Coturnix japonica: one gene and its partners. The main gene of each other region encodes a partner of the protein of the gene in region 2 in a complex. Links are inferred from orthologs where the notes say so. Each region holds a gene or a part of one and is shown on either strand. Other genes may lie near its edges. The genes, in order: FMNL2, CDC42 and ARHGAP1.

Evidence for each region.
Region 1: the proteins of CDC42 (region 2) and FMNL2 are in contact, whole or in part, in a crystal structure (PDB 4YC7), measured with the Homo sapiens proteins. The link is inferred for Coturnix japonica from reciprocal best matches to the Homo sapiens genes CDC42 and FMNL2. Residues at the interface, in NP_001034891.1 of Homo sapiens: Val36, Phe37, Asn39, Gln61, Glu62, Asp63, Tyr64, Asp65, Arg66, Leu67, Arg68, Pro69, Leu70, Pro73, Ser88, Glu91, Asn92, Lys94, Glu95, Lys96, Pro99, Glu100, Thr102, His103, His104, Pro106, Lys131, Asn132, Lys133; in NP_443137.2 of Homo sapiens: Ala41, Met42, Asn43, Leu44, Pro45, Lys48, Leu52, Tyr55, Lys59, Glu62, Leu63, Asp66, Gln67, Arg69, Phe70, Lys73, Tyr79, Arg108, Glu109, Ile112, Ser113, Leu114, Arg115, Thr116, Asn117, Ile119, Val122, Asp219, His222, Met226.
Region 3: the proteins of CDC42 (region 2) and ARHGAP1 are in contact, whole or in part, in a crystal structure (PDB 1GRN), measured with the Homo sapiens proteins. The link is inferred for Coturnix japonica from reciprocal best matches to the Homo sapiens genes CDC42 and ARHGAP1. Residues at the interface, in NP_001034891.1 of Homo sapiens: Asp11, Gly12, Ala13, Tyr32, Val33, Pro34, Val36, Phe37, Gly60, Gln61, Glu62, Asp63, Tyr64, Arg66, Leu67, Leu70, Ser88, Glu91, Asn92, Glu95, Lys96, Asn132; in NP_004299.1 of Homo sapiens: Glu278, Gly279, Phe281, Arg282, Arg283, Ser284, Ala285, Asn286, Thr287, Gln288, Asn309, Glu310, Val316, Lys319, Arg323, Asn385, Lys386, Met387, Asn391, Val394, Val395, Pro398, Asn399, Trp402, Ala403, Lys404, Ala406, Ala407, Thr409, Leu410.

The regions. Positions count from the first base shown.
Region 1 is NC_029522.1:30,438,908-30,442,653, forward strand, and holds the end of FMNL2 (formin-like protein 2), read right to left. Parts: intron 2,589-3,746; coding exon 2,479-2,588; 3' UTR 697-2,478; downstream 1-696. UniProt on the Homo sapiens protein: Plays a role in the regulation of cell morphology and cytoskeletal organization. Required in the cortical actin filament dynamics.
Region 2 is NC_029536.1:5,530,743-5,534,261, forward strand, and holds the start of CDC42 (cell division control protein 42 homolog), read right to left. Parts: upstream 2,801-3,519; 5' UTR 2,677-2,800; intron 1-2,676. UniProt on the Homo sapiens protein: Plasma membrane-associated small GTPase which cycles between an active GTP-bound and an inactive GDP-bound state. In active state binds to a variety of effector proteins to regulate cellular responses. Involved in epithelial cell polarization processes.
Region 3 is NC_029520.1:20,940,431-20,944,243, reverse strand, and holds the start of ARHGAP1 (rho GTPase-activating protein 1), read right to left. Parts: upstream 2,779-3,813; 5' UTR 2,676-2,778; exon of another isoform or gene 2,594-2,675; intron 2,567-2,593; exon of another isoform or gene 2,380-2,566; intron 1,165-2,379; exon of another isoform or gene 441-1,164; intron 1-440. UniProt on the Homo sapiens protein: GTPase activator for the Rho, Rac and Cdc42 proteins, converting them to the putatively inactive GDP-bound state. Cdc42 seems to be the preferred substrate.

The DNA of each region.
Region 1 (3,746 bases), on a different chromosome or scaffold from region 2:
GCCGTGCTGCAGTGGTACCTTCGCAACCTTTGATTGGAATATTTTTGTACATTTCTATCAATGATTAAACCTTGTCTCCTGCTGTCTGCTGGTATTTATTTCTACTTCAACGCTGCGTGCGGCTCTGATCAGTTCCTGTGATTTCTGAGTTTAAGCCACCTCTACTTACAGTAAAACACTCCAAGTTCACCTTTAGCTTTTGGTTTCAGTGCATTCTGCCTGGCCGAGCAAACAAGCTCTGGAAAGGTGAACCTTTATGTTCACCTTTATGTTTGGGCTGTGGGGCTTTTTGTGGGCTTTTTTTTTCCACCTTATAACAGCTCTGGTACAAAAAATGGCAGAAGGATGGACAGACAGACAGCTGCAGGTGACAGCCCTGGTTCTGCTGTTTTGCTGAACCCTCCTGTCAGTGACACCTGGATCGCAGCTCGGATGGCGCTGCTCGCTGTACATTTAGGACTCTAATACTTTGCTGTTGGTTTTTTGCACATTTAGGGGGAACAACTCACCACTGCTGCTCTGCGCGGAGCTCTTCCTGCAGGACTGCTGGGGCACAGCCGTGTTCCTGCCCTGGGTGAGCTGCGCTGCAGCGTGGAGCCTCTCTCTGTCCATAGCAGTGCTGAGCAATGGGGCACGGCCCCAGCACAGGGGAAGAAAACGCTGTAAAAGTCACTTGGAAAAGAAGGAAAGGATGGATTACGGTGTAGTAGTGTAAATAGTTTATTTGCTCTTATGCCAGGAACAGACCAGGAAAGTAACATGAACTGCTTTTATAAAACACTTCTAATATTGCTAAGAAGCAGATCTATGACTAGAAAAAGATGAAAGAGAACATGCCAGCGTTGCACTGCAGTCCAACGATCGTTTCTGCCTTAGGTTTAAAAAAGAAAAATACCTTTGAGCACAGGAATGAGGCAGCAGAGCTCCCAGCCCGCCGACCACCGCCGACCACCACCGCCTGGCTGCCGATGAAGGGAGCGCTGTGTGGATGGGTGAGCGGAGGTCAATGCGGTGACTGAGCCCTCAGCTGCCCACTCGGTTAAATATAAAAACACAAACGATAAGTTAAGTCGACATTCGGATTGTATAGCACAGGCTGATGCTTTTTTGTTTGTTTGTTTGCTTTTTAAACAATATTTACAATATTACCCAGAGGCAAAAGTGGGAGTGAAAGGAGTGTAAAAACCATAAAAAACGGCACCGATTTTGTAGCAAAATATCTGTACATTTAAAAACAGATTATCATATAACTACACATTATCCAAGAAAAACGGGACCTTCACCAGTGGTTCACATAAGCACAACGTAAAAGAAAAGAAATTCAGTGGTTAAATACTATACAATAAATTTTACAATGAACGTATTGAGGCGGCGATGCCAGGAGGGGAAGCTGTGAGCACAACGAGCTCGGAAGCACAGACAGGGCTGCGGCCACACTCCTCCTTTGGGCCGGCTCCAGGCAGTGCTGCAGGCCATGCAGGGTGCACAGGGCGCCAATCCGGCCTGTTGGGAGCTTTGGGATGTGACTGCAAACCTCACAGGGCAGCTGATGAATGTGTGAGCCCTGGGACTGAATTGGAGCGCGATTGTCAAAGGGAGACGCAGCTGCATGGGGCACTAACGCGATCTCTGTGCTAGTATGGAGCTGTAATGGTCCTCGGAACCCTAGTGGTGATAACTGAGATGTTAATACCTTAGTGCTAATTAATAAATACACTGTTAGATGAAAGTTGCCTCTAGCTGAAGGGCAGGCGATGCGTTCTCTGCCATTCCCACGCTGTGCGATCACAATGTGCCGGTTCCCCCCGTGCCCCTCGTGCCTCAGCCCCACACTGCACACCACCAAACCCCGAGCCTTACAGCCAACAAAAGCTTCCCTGCCCACAGGTCTCCTCAGCACACAACTGCGTTACCACGTCCAGCTGTGGCGCACAGGGTCTGTATGGCGGAACAAGGTACGGAGCTCTTCTTGTCGCTATTTCCCTACTAGATACAGAAAGCCCTTAAGTGTTCTGTTTCTTTAACAAAAGAAAAGCCAGTAAGTGCAGCTGAAGCCAAGGTCAGCCCTCGGCCAAGGACAGGAATGCATGTAGAAGCCCAGCAGCAGAGCACATCCAGAGTTACCTCCTTCCAACCAGTGGGGATCCAGGTCCGGCCAACAGAAGACCGATCGCTAAGTTTTCACATAATCAAACCCAACTAAACACCCCAAAACAACACATACTTTACTTTTTGGTTAAAAATACTGAATAATGTATTGGTGTCAAAAGATACCCAATCAAATCAAGTCCTATTGCTTCGGTTAATTTGAGCAGGTACTTCCATTTTAGGCACTTGTTAGCTACGGCTGAGTGGAGAGCCCATCGCTGACGTTCCTATGCATTTCTAGGTGTCTGAGCCCTTTAGGGGGTAACCGTACTGTTCCCAAGGCGGGCAGGGAGGGCACCGCTGGCAGCCCGGCTCCGCAGAGGCCTCAGCTCACATGGTGATCTCGGTGCCATTGGCAGAGCGCAGGCTCTGGTCGTCGAAGCGCCGCCGCACGCTCCTCCTCAGCGCGTCGGCCCGGCGGTACGGCTGGTTTCGAAGATCTGCGGGGAGGAAAGCGGCGCTGGTCAGCAGGCACGGCTCAAACCACACGCGCAGCGCCGCAGGGATCGGGGCTGCTGGAAGCCAGTCAAAGCAGCTTGGGTAGCAACGGGAGGAGGGAGTGGGCCCCACCGCAACAGCGAGCTGATGGCCCTATGGCAACACACTGAGCAGCAGGCAGTGCTGGGGGCACTAACGGAGCCGTGCCACTGGGCTGGATGTTCGCCCTCCTATGGGCAGCTGGTATTCACTAACACTGTTTGTGTAGCCTCTAAATCCCAAAGGTGAGAGACACGGAACCAGGGAACAGGGTTGGAAGGGACCTTACAGATCACCCAGTTCCGCCCCGCGGCCTCAGGCACCCCTGGGGCTCTGGGCAGCAGTGCCACGGCCTCACCGCCCCGCACTGAACGAGTTCTCTGATGCAGGATGGAACCCAGTGAACGTGAAACACAGGACATGATGGGATAAGTGCTCACCAAAACAGGCATGCATCTACATGGCCCATCCACCCACTCAACTACCAGAAGGTGCCTTGAGAAAAAGCAGGCATCCCCCTGCACCCAGCCTGCAAGCCTGCAGCCACGGCTGCCACCCGAGGGGTGCAGGGCTGGGCTGCTACTGGGGCTGGGAGCGGGGAGGAGGGCAGTACTGAGCATGCGATGGAGAAAGCCAGCGGTGGGAGTTTAACAAAGCCCGTGTTAAGAGCGTGGTGAGGACAGGTGACTGCTTGGCTTCTTGTGCTACGGAGATGAGCTACACAGCACGCCTGGTGCGCCTGACACGTAACTTAAGCAGAATTTTTTTTTTCTGGGGAAAAATAAAATGGGTGCTTCGCTGGGGAAACCCTCCCATGTACTCCCTGGATGACTTACAGCTTGCTCTAAGCCCCACTGCCCGACTCCTCAGCTCTCAGCACAGCAGAAGCCACCCACGCTGCCCTGTGCTCTCAGCCTCCACTGTCCATCACTGGTTCCCCTCCCAGGGCTGCAGCACCACACACCCGCAGAGCACTGGGCAGCAGGAGCTGGGAGCTACAGCCAGGGATCTACGGGCAGAAACAACCTGGGACGAGGCTGCCTACCTCGGGCTCAACATGGAAGGGCCAAAATAGAGAGAGCAGGAAGGTGGTGACCAGCCAGCAGCTCAGCAACCCCCTG
Region 2 (3,519 bases):
GTCTCTATCATTTTGAAGTAACTTGTTTTCTGGATGAGCTGCTATGAATTACCAAGGGAGAAGCTCAAGGTGTCACCTCAAAAAGCAGCTCTTAGACTGATATATGCTATGCTTAATGCAACTTAAGAACTGACAGCTACCACACTATTCAGCAGGGCTCGTCACAACAAGCTGATAAGTGCAGACATACACAAGATAGGAAGTGAATGCAGCTGAGTGGGAGAATTTTAGAAGTCTGAGCTTAAAGCACTGCCAACATAACACCTTTTAAGTCCTACTACTTAAAAGAAATGAAAGAGTCAACAGCCATTGCACAGCCCTACATTCAAAACAAGCCTGGTCAAGCAGAGCGTGACTCAGTGGGCACAGCACAGCAAGGTTCCCATCTGCTCACTGCTCGGACCTCAAAGGAACCACCTTCACATGGACTCAAAGAAGAAGGCAGAAGTCATCCCACATTAAACCCTGAGAAGCACGGCTGCTTATCCCAGCTCCCCTCCCTATAGCCAGACACATTTAGAAGCACTACAGCTGACACTGGCAGCAGCACAGTGAGCACTTTTGCATAAGGGCAGCCACCCTGTGCACATCAGCTGCAGCACCCAGTGCATGGCTCAGCTGCTGGTGCTCCATGCGTAGGAACTGCCCCAACACTGTCTGCAGGAAGCAGCGTGCTTATCTCAGGCCTATCAATATCACTGCTGATAAAGGGATTATACTTTGTTGGGAATGATGTTCCAGAAGAGATTTCTCATTGATGCTTTCCACTCCACATTAAAGGAACTTGGATCAGAACCCATGGACACATGCATTCCAGCATAACGGGGTGACAGGAGCCATGGTCAAAGCCTACAGTGCACTAAGTGTGTAAGCAGAGCTCCTGCTACATACTAGAAACCCATATCGCTTCCTTTTAATGCAACAGCACCTCCATATCTGTTGGTTTTTCATCAGAAACTGAGTATTAAGTGTGAGGATAATTACAACCCCTATATACCAACACTCCTGAATTGGAGTAGGTTGACATTCATCATCATGCCTATGGATGGAGCCAAAGCTGGGCTGGCCACAGCAAGCAAGGACTGAGGGGCTGCAGTGTGCAAGGCTGTAGGTGACTTAAAAGCTGCATCTAAAGACACTTCTGGTACTGCAAGCGTGTTTTATCCTGCAGCTTTTATTCCTCAGCAAGGCTTTAAAATGCTTTGCGTCCTTATTACTGCAGCATATAAGCAGTAAACAGACCGAACAAAGAGTCGTTTCACAACTAACAATATTAAACACATTAACATATTGATTCATTCATGCGTTACCTGCTTCGGATGAAGACTTGCCTACACTCCACCCCATCATCTCACTCATTTCCAAGCCAGAACAACACATTTTCCACATATAAACACCTGAATACAAAGCCTTTCTATCTAAACTTGTTCCTGTGCAACAGAGCCAAGCTCCAAGTGCTTTACTGACTTACTCCCATTAGAAACACTAGAAACTTAACCTGGGTTTTAATTATTCCTCTAAAAAAAGGCCATTTGGGGTGCTCCAATGGAACACTTTGAATAAAGCCAGCATCTCTTTCACAGGCTGCCCAGGGAGGTTGTGGATGCCCCGTCCTTGGAAGTGTTCAAGCCCAGGTTGGATGGAGCCCTGGGCAACCTGATCTATGGGGTCTCCTGGGCAACCTGATCTAGTAAATGTGTATGTTTGGTGGCCCTGCCAGGCAGGGGGGGTGGAACTACATGACCCTTGAGGTCCCTTCCAATCCAGGTCATTCTGTGATTCTGTGATTCTCTTTCTTTATGGTAGAAGTAATACAAACAGATGCAATCACAGACTGAACTACTTTGGCCTGCACGTCTATCACAGCCTCTCATCCAGGCCTTGCCTTCATGGTGCTCAGTCTATATGGTTAGATAGCAGTGCTGGCTCTGCAGCCTGCAGGCAGATGGGGCAGGTACCATCCTTATCTCCCCCAAGCACAGATTCCACACACACCTGGGCCACCACCACCATCAGCTTACAAGAAAAGCTACTATGAAAGGGGCCACACTATATTTCATCTCAGAGAGCTCAAAGATGGAAGAGAAATCCCCCCCCACATCAACCCTCCAAGCACAGCAGCCAACAACCAGCCATATACATCAACGGGACGGCGGATGACCCAGCACCTGGGCGAGACAAAAGCCGGGCAGCGCCTCCCAGCTCTTTATAGGGAGAAGGAGGAGAGGGAAGGGAAGGAAAGGAAACGTTCGGCGGTTCCTAAAGCAAAGCCCACACCCCAACTGCGCCTCGGAACTACTTCAGAGCTGGGCGGCGCTCCCGGAAGAAGCACAGGCCCAACCTGCGGCACCGACCTCCGGCTTCCCCTCCTCCCTTGCGGGGCTCACAACCCGCAGGGCCCAGCGCTCCGTGCCGGGCGGGGGGCAGGACGAGGAGGAGGCCGAGCTGGGCCGCGTAGGCCGCGCTCCCCCCCATACACACACACACACACACACACACCTCAGCCCCGCTCTGCGCCAACAGCCCCAACCCAGCGGCGGGGAGGCCCCACACACACACAGCCCGCACCCACACGGTCCCGGTTCTCCGCCCCCGCTGTGTGATGGCGGTACAGAGGCGCGGTGCAGCCCGCACACCCGCCCGCCGCTCCCGCCCCGCTCCGCCGCGGCCGCTCACCTCAGAGTCTCCGCCGGGCGTTGGCGGCTCGCTGCGGGGTCTCCTCGGCTTCAGGCGCAGGGGCACGCTGCGGGTGACGTCATCGCGTAGCGCTGGGAGGGGGGACGCTGCGGGTGACGTCATCGCGTATTGAACGAGAAGGCGGAGCGCGCTTCCGGTTTGCTCAGTCGAGGCCTGTGCGGCCGGTTGGGTCGGAGGGGCGATAAGGCCGCTATGTGGGTCACCAGCAGGGTTAGTTAGAGCCCAGGCCTCTCCCAGCCGCTGTTTGGTGCCTTGTTCCTAATGCAACTCCCACCCTATGGACCCAAAACTGCATTAGGGGCAGGCTAAGCCAAGAAGAGGCAGCCAATAGGCCAGAGGCACTTAGGGACCCCCCCCATAAGCTTTATCAGGGACCCCCCATAAGCTTTAATAGAGACCCCCCATAAGCTTTATCAGGGACCCCCCCCATAAGCTTTATTAGGGACCCCTCCATTAGCTTTATTAGAGACCCCTCCATAAGCTTTATCAGGGACCCCCCCATAAGCTTTAATAGAGACCCCGCCATAAGCTTTAATAGAGACCCCTCCATAAGCTTTAATAGAAACCCCTCCATAAGCTTTAATAGAGACCCCTCCATTAGCTTTAATAGAGGCCCTTCCATAAGCTTTGTGAGGGACCCCACACATAAGAAACCACAAGCAGAGGCAGCAGCCATCACCCCAATCCTTTGTACATCAGCTTACAGTTCTTAATGATGGGAAACAGATAAAACTGGGGCAGGAACACCTTCCTCCCAGAGAAGCATAAATCACAGGTCTCCGATGTTGCTGTAATTAGCACTACAGCCCATGCAGTAATTAA
Region 3 (3,813 bases), on a different chromosome or scaffold from region 2:
GAACTGTAGGAACACAAAATGATACCTTACATCAGCAAGACTCCCTGTAACAGTGCTGCTCCGACAGGCTTGTGCTTGTTTTGCCTTACGAGGGGAGCAAAGAGCTAACAGATGATCTGAGGAGGCACACTGACTTTGTGTGGAAAGAAGATAATTACAGTAAAGCCATTTCCTTTAGCAGAATGGAGGGGACAAGAATATATTGCATCTTCCATCCCTAGAGCTTGACTGTGTATCCATCCAAATTAAAAGATCAAGCCCTGAAGACATGACCTGCAAGAGCCCAAGCACTGGAAGGTGTCACAGCCATGTTCAGGGCAACACTCAAGACCACGCTAGGTGTATTTTGACATAAAAGGAAATGGAACAGTTACCATTTGTCCCTTCCCCCCAGACTACTCCAGAAGCTTACCTCCTGTCCTCCCTTATCTCTTACTCACCACTTTACAACCAGTTTTCGCTTCTCTCAGGCTCCCAGAGGGCAAGGGGCCTTGCTAAGCAAATGAAATTAGATTCCCGAAATATGAAAGAGCAAGATGCATCTGGGCAGTGGATGGTCAAGGCTGTACGGCAAACACACAGGGTCTGACCACTGCAGCCAAGCAGAGGCCCAAGCAAGGCCCTTCCCTGCCCTCCTGCAAGGACTGAGAGCTGCCTGACCTCTCTGCTCTCAGAAGAGCAGAGAGCAAGAAATCAGGTTCTTCTGAACCATGAGCTCATGCCAGAACCACGCAGCAGCAGGGCCAAATGACAAGCAACTCCCCACCCCTAGCAACTGCTCTGATTTCTATGGTAACGCGAGGCACTGATCCCTATGACTCAGTGAGCTGAAATCATTCCCACTGCAGCTCAGCAGCCCCACCGCCCAGCCCTGCACAAGGCATGATTAATGCAGCTCTCAAGCACTCCTCACTCCAGTGGGCAGAGGCCCTACCTACCTTCAGCTGCTGCCAGCCACTGACCCAGGGAGATGCCCTCTACACCAAGCTCTTGAGGATGCCCTGTATAACAGTGCCCCCTAAGCAGTCTTGATGCCCGTAAGGACCAAATCCAAACCATCCCAAAGAAAAGCGATAGTACTGCCACCAGGCCAGCAAGACACCAAGTTTCCCTCCTTCTCACTACAAGGACCACAACTTGGCTTCAGGGACAACTGGCAGCACACCACCAGTGCTATAAGTGTTGGCTATTTGACAGCACTGGCAGACTTCCCCTTTGGCACGCTCCTACAATTAGTGCTGGTGTGGCACCATGAGGCAGGAGGAGGTCACCGGGACTGTCTACAGTTCCACACCAGGCAGAGAACCCAGAGAAGACCTCTTAGATTTCAGGTTCTGCTTGTGAAGCCCCAGGGACCTTCAGAGGGCTTTCTACAGAACTTCCCCTGCCCTTTCCCACTGGTGCTAAAGACAGAAGCACACAGTCTCTCGCATCAGAGCGATTCAGAAAAACACAGCGTTCTATGTGTCCAGGAACTGATGGGCACTGAGAAGATCCGGAGGTGAGAGCTGAGAGGTAAGAAACTAAGCGTGGAACTGAAACCAGGACAGCCCTTCTGTTTAGATCCTCACAACTCCACATGCTTCGTTTTCTGACAGTGACTGCACGCGATTTTTTCCACCTCCTCAAAACGAGCCACAAGCTGGACCTGCCGCTGACTGGGACGGCCATCCTGCATTAGTATAAGGGCAAAACAGCTGTCAGACAACAGCACTTCACCAGACATAACACGGTCTAAGAACGTCACATTTAGCAGAGAAATAGCATGGCAAGACGCAAAGCATACACCCTGCACAGCCAATCAAAATACAAGCACAATGATGATCCCAGATTTAAAAAGTTAAAGGCCTACTTCAACATTTCCAAACAAAAGAACCACACTTGGCATTAGGAGCACTTCTCCAAAGAGCCAACTACTTCCATTCCTCCCAAGTGCTTTCTGCTCCTGTCCGGGCCGCTCTCAGCACTCGCTGAGCCACGTGCTTTGCTCTCCAGCCAAAGAAAAAGGCCATTTTTGCTATGAGAGCTGCGGTGCAGAACAGCACGTTGTGCAGGAGGGAAAGCTCAGCCCTGTACAACACAACCTTCACACCGCTTCTGAGCGGGACGCTGCTTACACACAACCCTGCTGCACTGCACTGGCACACCAGAAAGGAGCCCGGTACCCCCTAACAAAGCAACGTGCAACCAAAAAGCCGCCCCGCTCCGGTGCTGCCGTTATTTTTCTGCCCCTGCTGCCACCTGCAGCTCCCGCCGGTTTCACTTCAACAGCAGAAACGTTCTGTATTTCCGTACACACCAAACAATTCCTGCACCGCGCTACAGCCCGCACAGCAAACACCGCCCAGTAATGAAAACACGAGGGATAACAACTCTTACAAGGTACGGCCCACGGGAGGGCTCCTCTCCGCACTGCACAGCAGCAGTCACTCAGTCACAGACCTCAGGCTCTCCCGACTCCACAACACAAAGCCCCGAGGCCGATTCTCTCCGTGCACCCGGCCATGCAAGCAGCCCGTTCCAGGCTCCCGAGCGGGGCCACTTCCCGCCCAGCCGTCCGGCTCCTCCCCTTCCCCAGCAGCCCGGCCCGCACCGTACGTGCCCGCTGACACCCGGCCTGCAGGCCCCGCTGCTCCGAGCACAGCCGTGTCGCCACCCCCCTCCGCCTCCGGTACCTGCGGCCTCCTCCCGCCCGGCCCCTCCGGCATCCGCCTCCCGCCGGAAGCGCTGCCCGTCGCCGGGGAAACACCGCCCCGCCCTCCGCGGTTCTCCGGTGCCTTCCGCCCTGTGGCCCGGAGCTGGAGGCGGCTGAGCCCCCGCTGGTACGTGCCTGCGGCCTCGGCGAGCCGCCCGCTGCAGGACCGAGCCCTCCACGGGCGGTAGAAATCCTGCCCAGCTGCCCTCTGCGGTGAGGGGAGACTTTGCCCACCTTCTGTCGTTAAATAAATGAAGTCATAGAGTGATGGTTTTCCTGCGGAGCCCTGGGATGGCTGGGTAGTGGCCTCTTTCCCCGAGGTTTGTGCTCTGACCCAGCAACAGCCGGTTAATTCACCCAGCGTGATTCTGTGTTTGTGCAGGCGATTCCTACTTCTTCAGGATGCGGCCCGACAAAACCAGAGTCCTTGACGTCCCCTGTTGAAGCCCAGAGGCTGCTGCCAAATGCTTCCATAGGCTGCCAGGAGAGGAAAGCACTTCTCCCGTACATGAGCCGTGGCAAGCCAAAGTGCCAGGGACTGAGAATGAGCACCTCAAGGCCATCTCAAACATCAAAGCCAGCAGCAGGTGCAGGGAAGAAATGGACAAGGGTGTGGGTTGTGGATCCACAGCAGAAAATTAGAGATGGGGCAAAAAGAGGCACATTCAGGAGACCTGGATCTGTCCTTTTCCTCATGTTGGGTTCATCTCGGTGTTTGCATGGGCATGTGGGCCAGTGATGCCAGAACAGCTGGGCAGGAAGCCCAGCAACGCAGTCCTGAAGAACAATTGTAGTTACTTGCAGGAAAGAAAGCAACATTTCCAAAGTGTCTACATTGGCATCTGAGAACATTAAAAGTTGCTTTCATTTCTTACACTACTAGTAGCATACTACAGTGAGCACAGTGAATTTTCACTGTCCCCAGCTGAGGAGTTCCTTACCTGCCCAGGTAAGGATTTACAGTTCACTTCAGTACGCTCAGAAGATTTTTGCCTCTCTCTTCCTTTCTCCCGATCTTTTTTCTCATGTTCTTGCTTCCTCTCTGCCACTTTTCTGCTCCTCCGTCATAAAGCCTACAGATGGCACAACCAGCACTACAGCCCAGGTATTCCCACTGC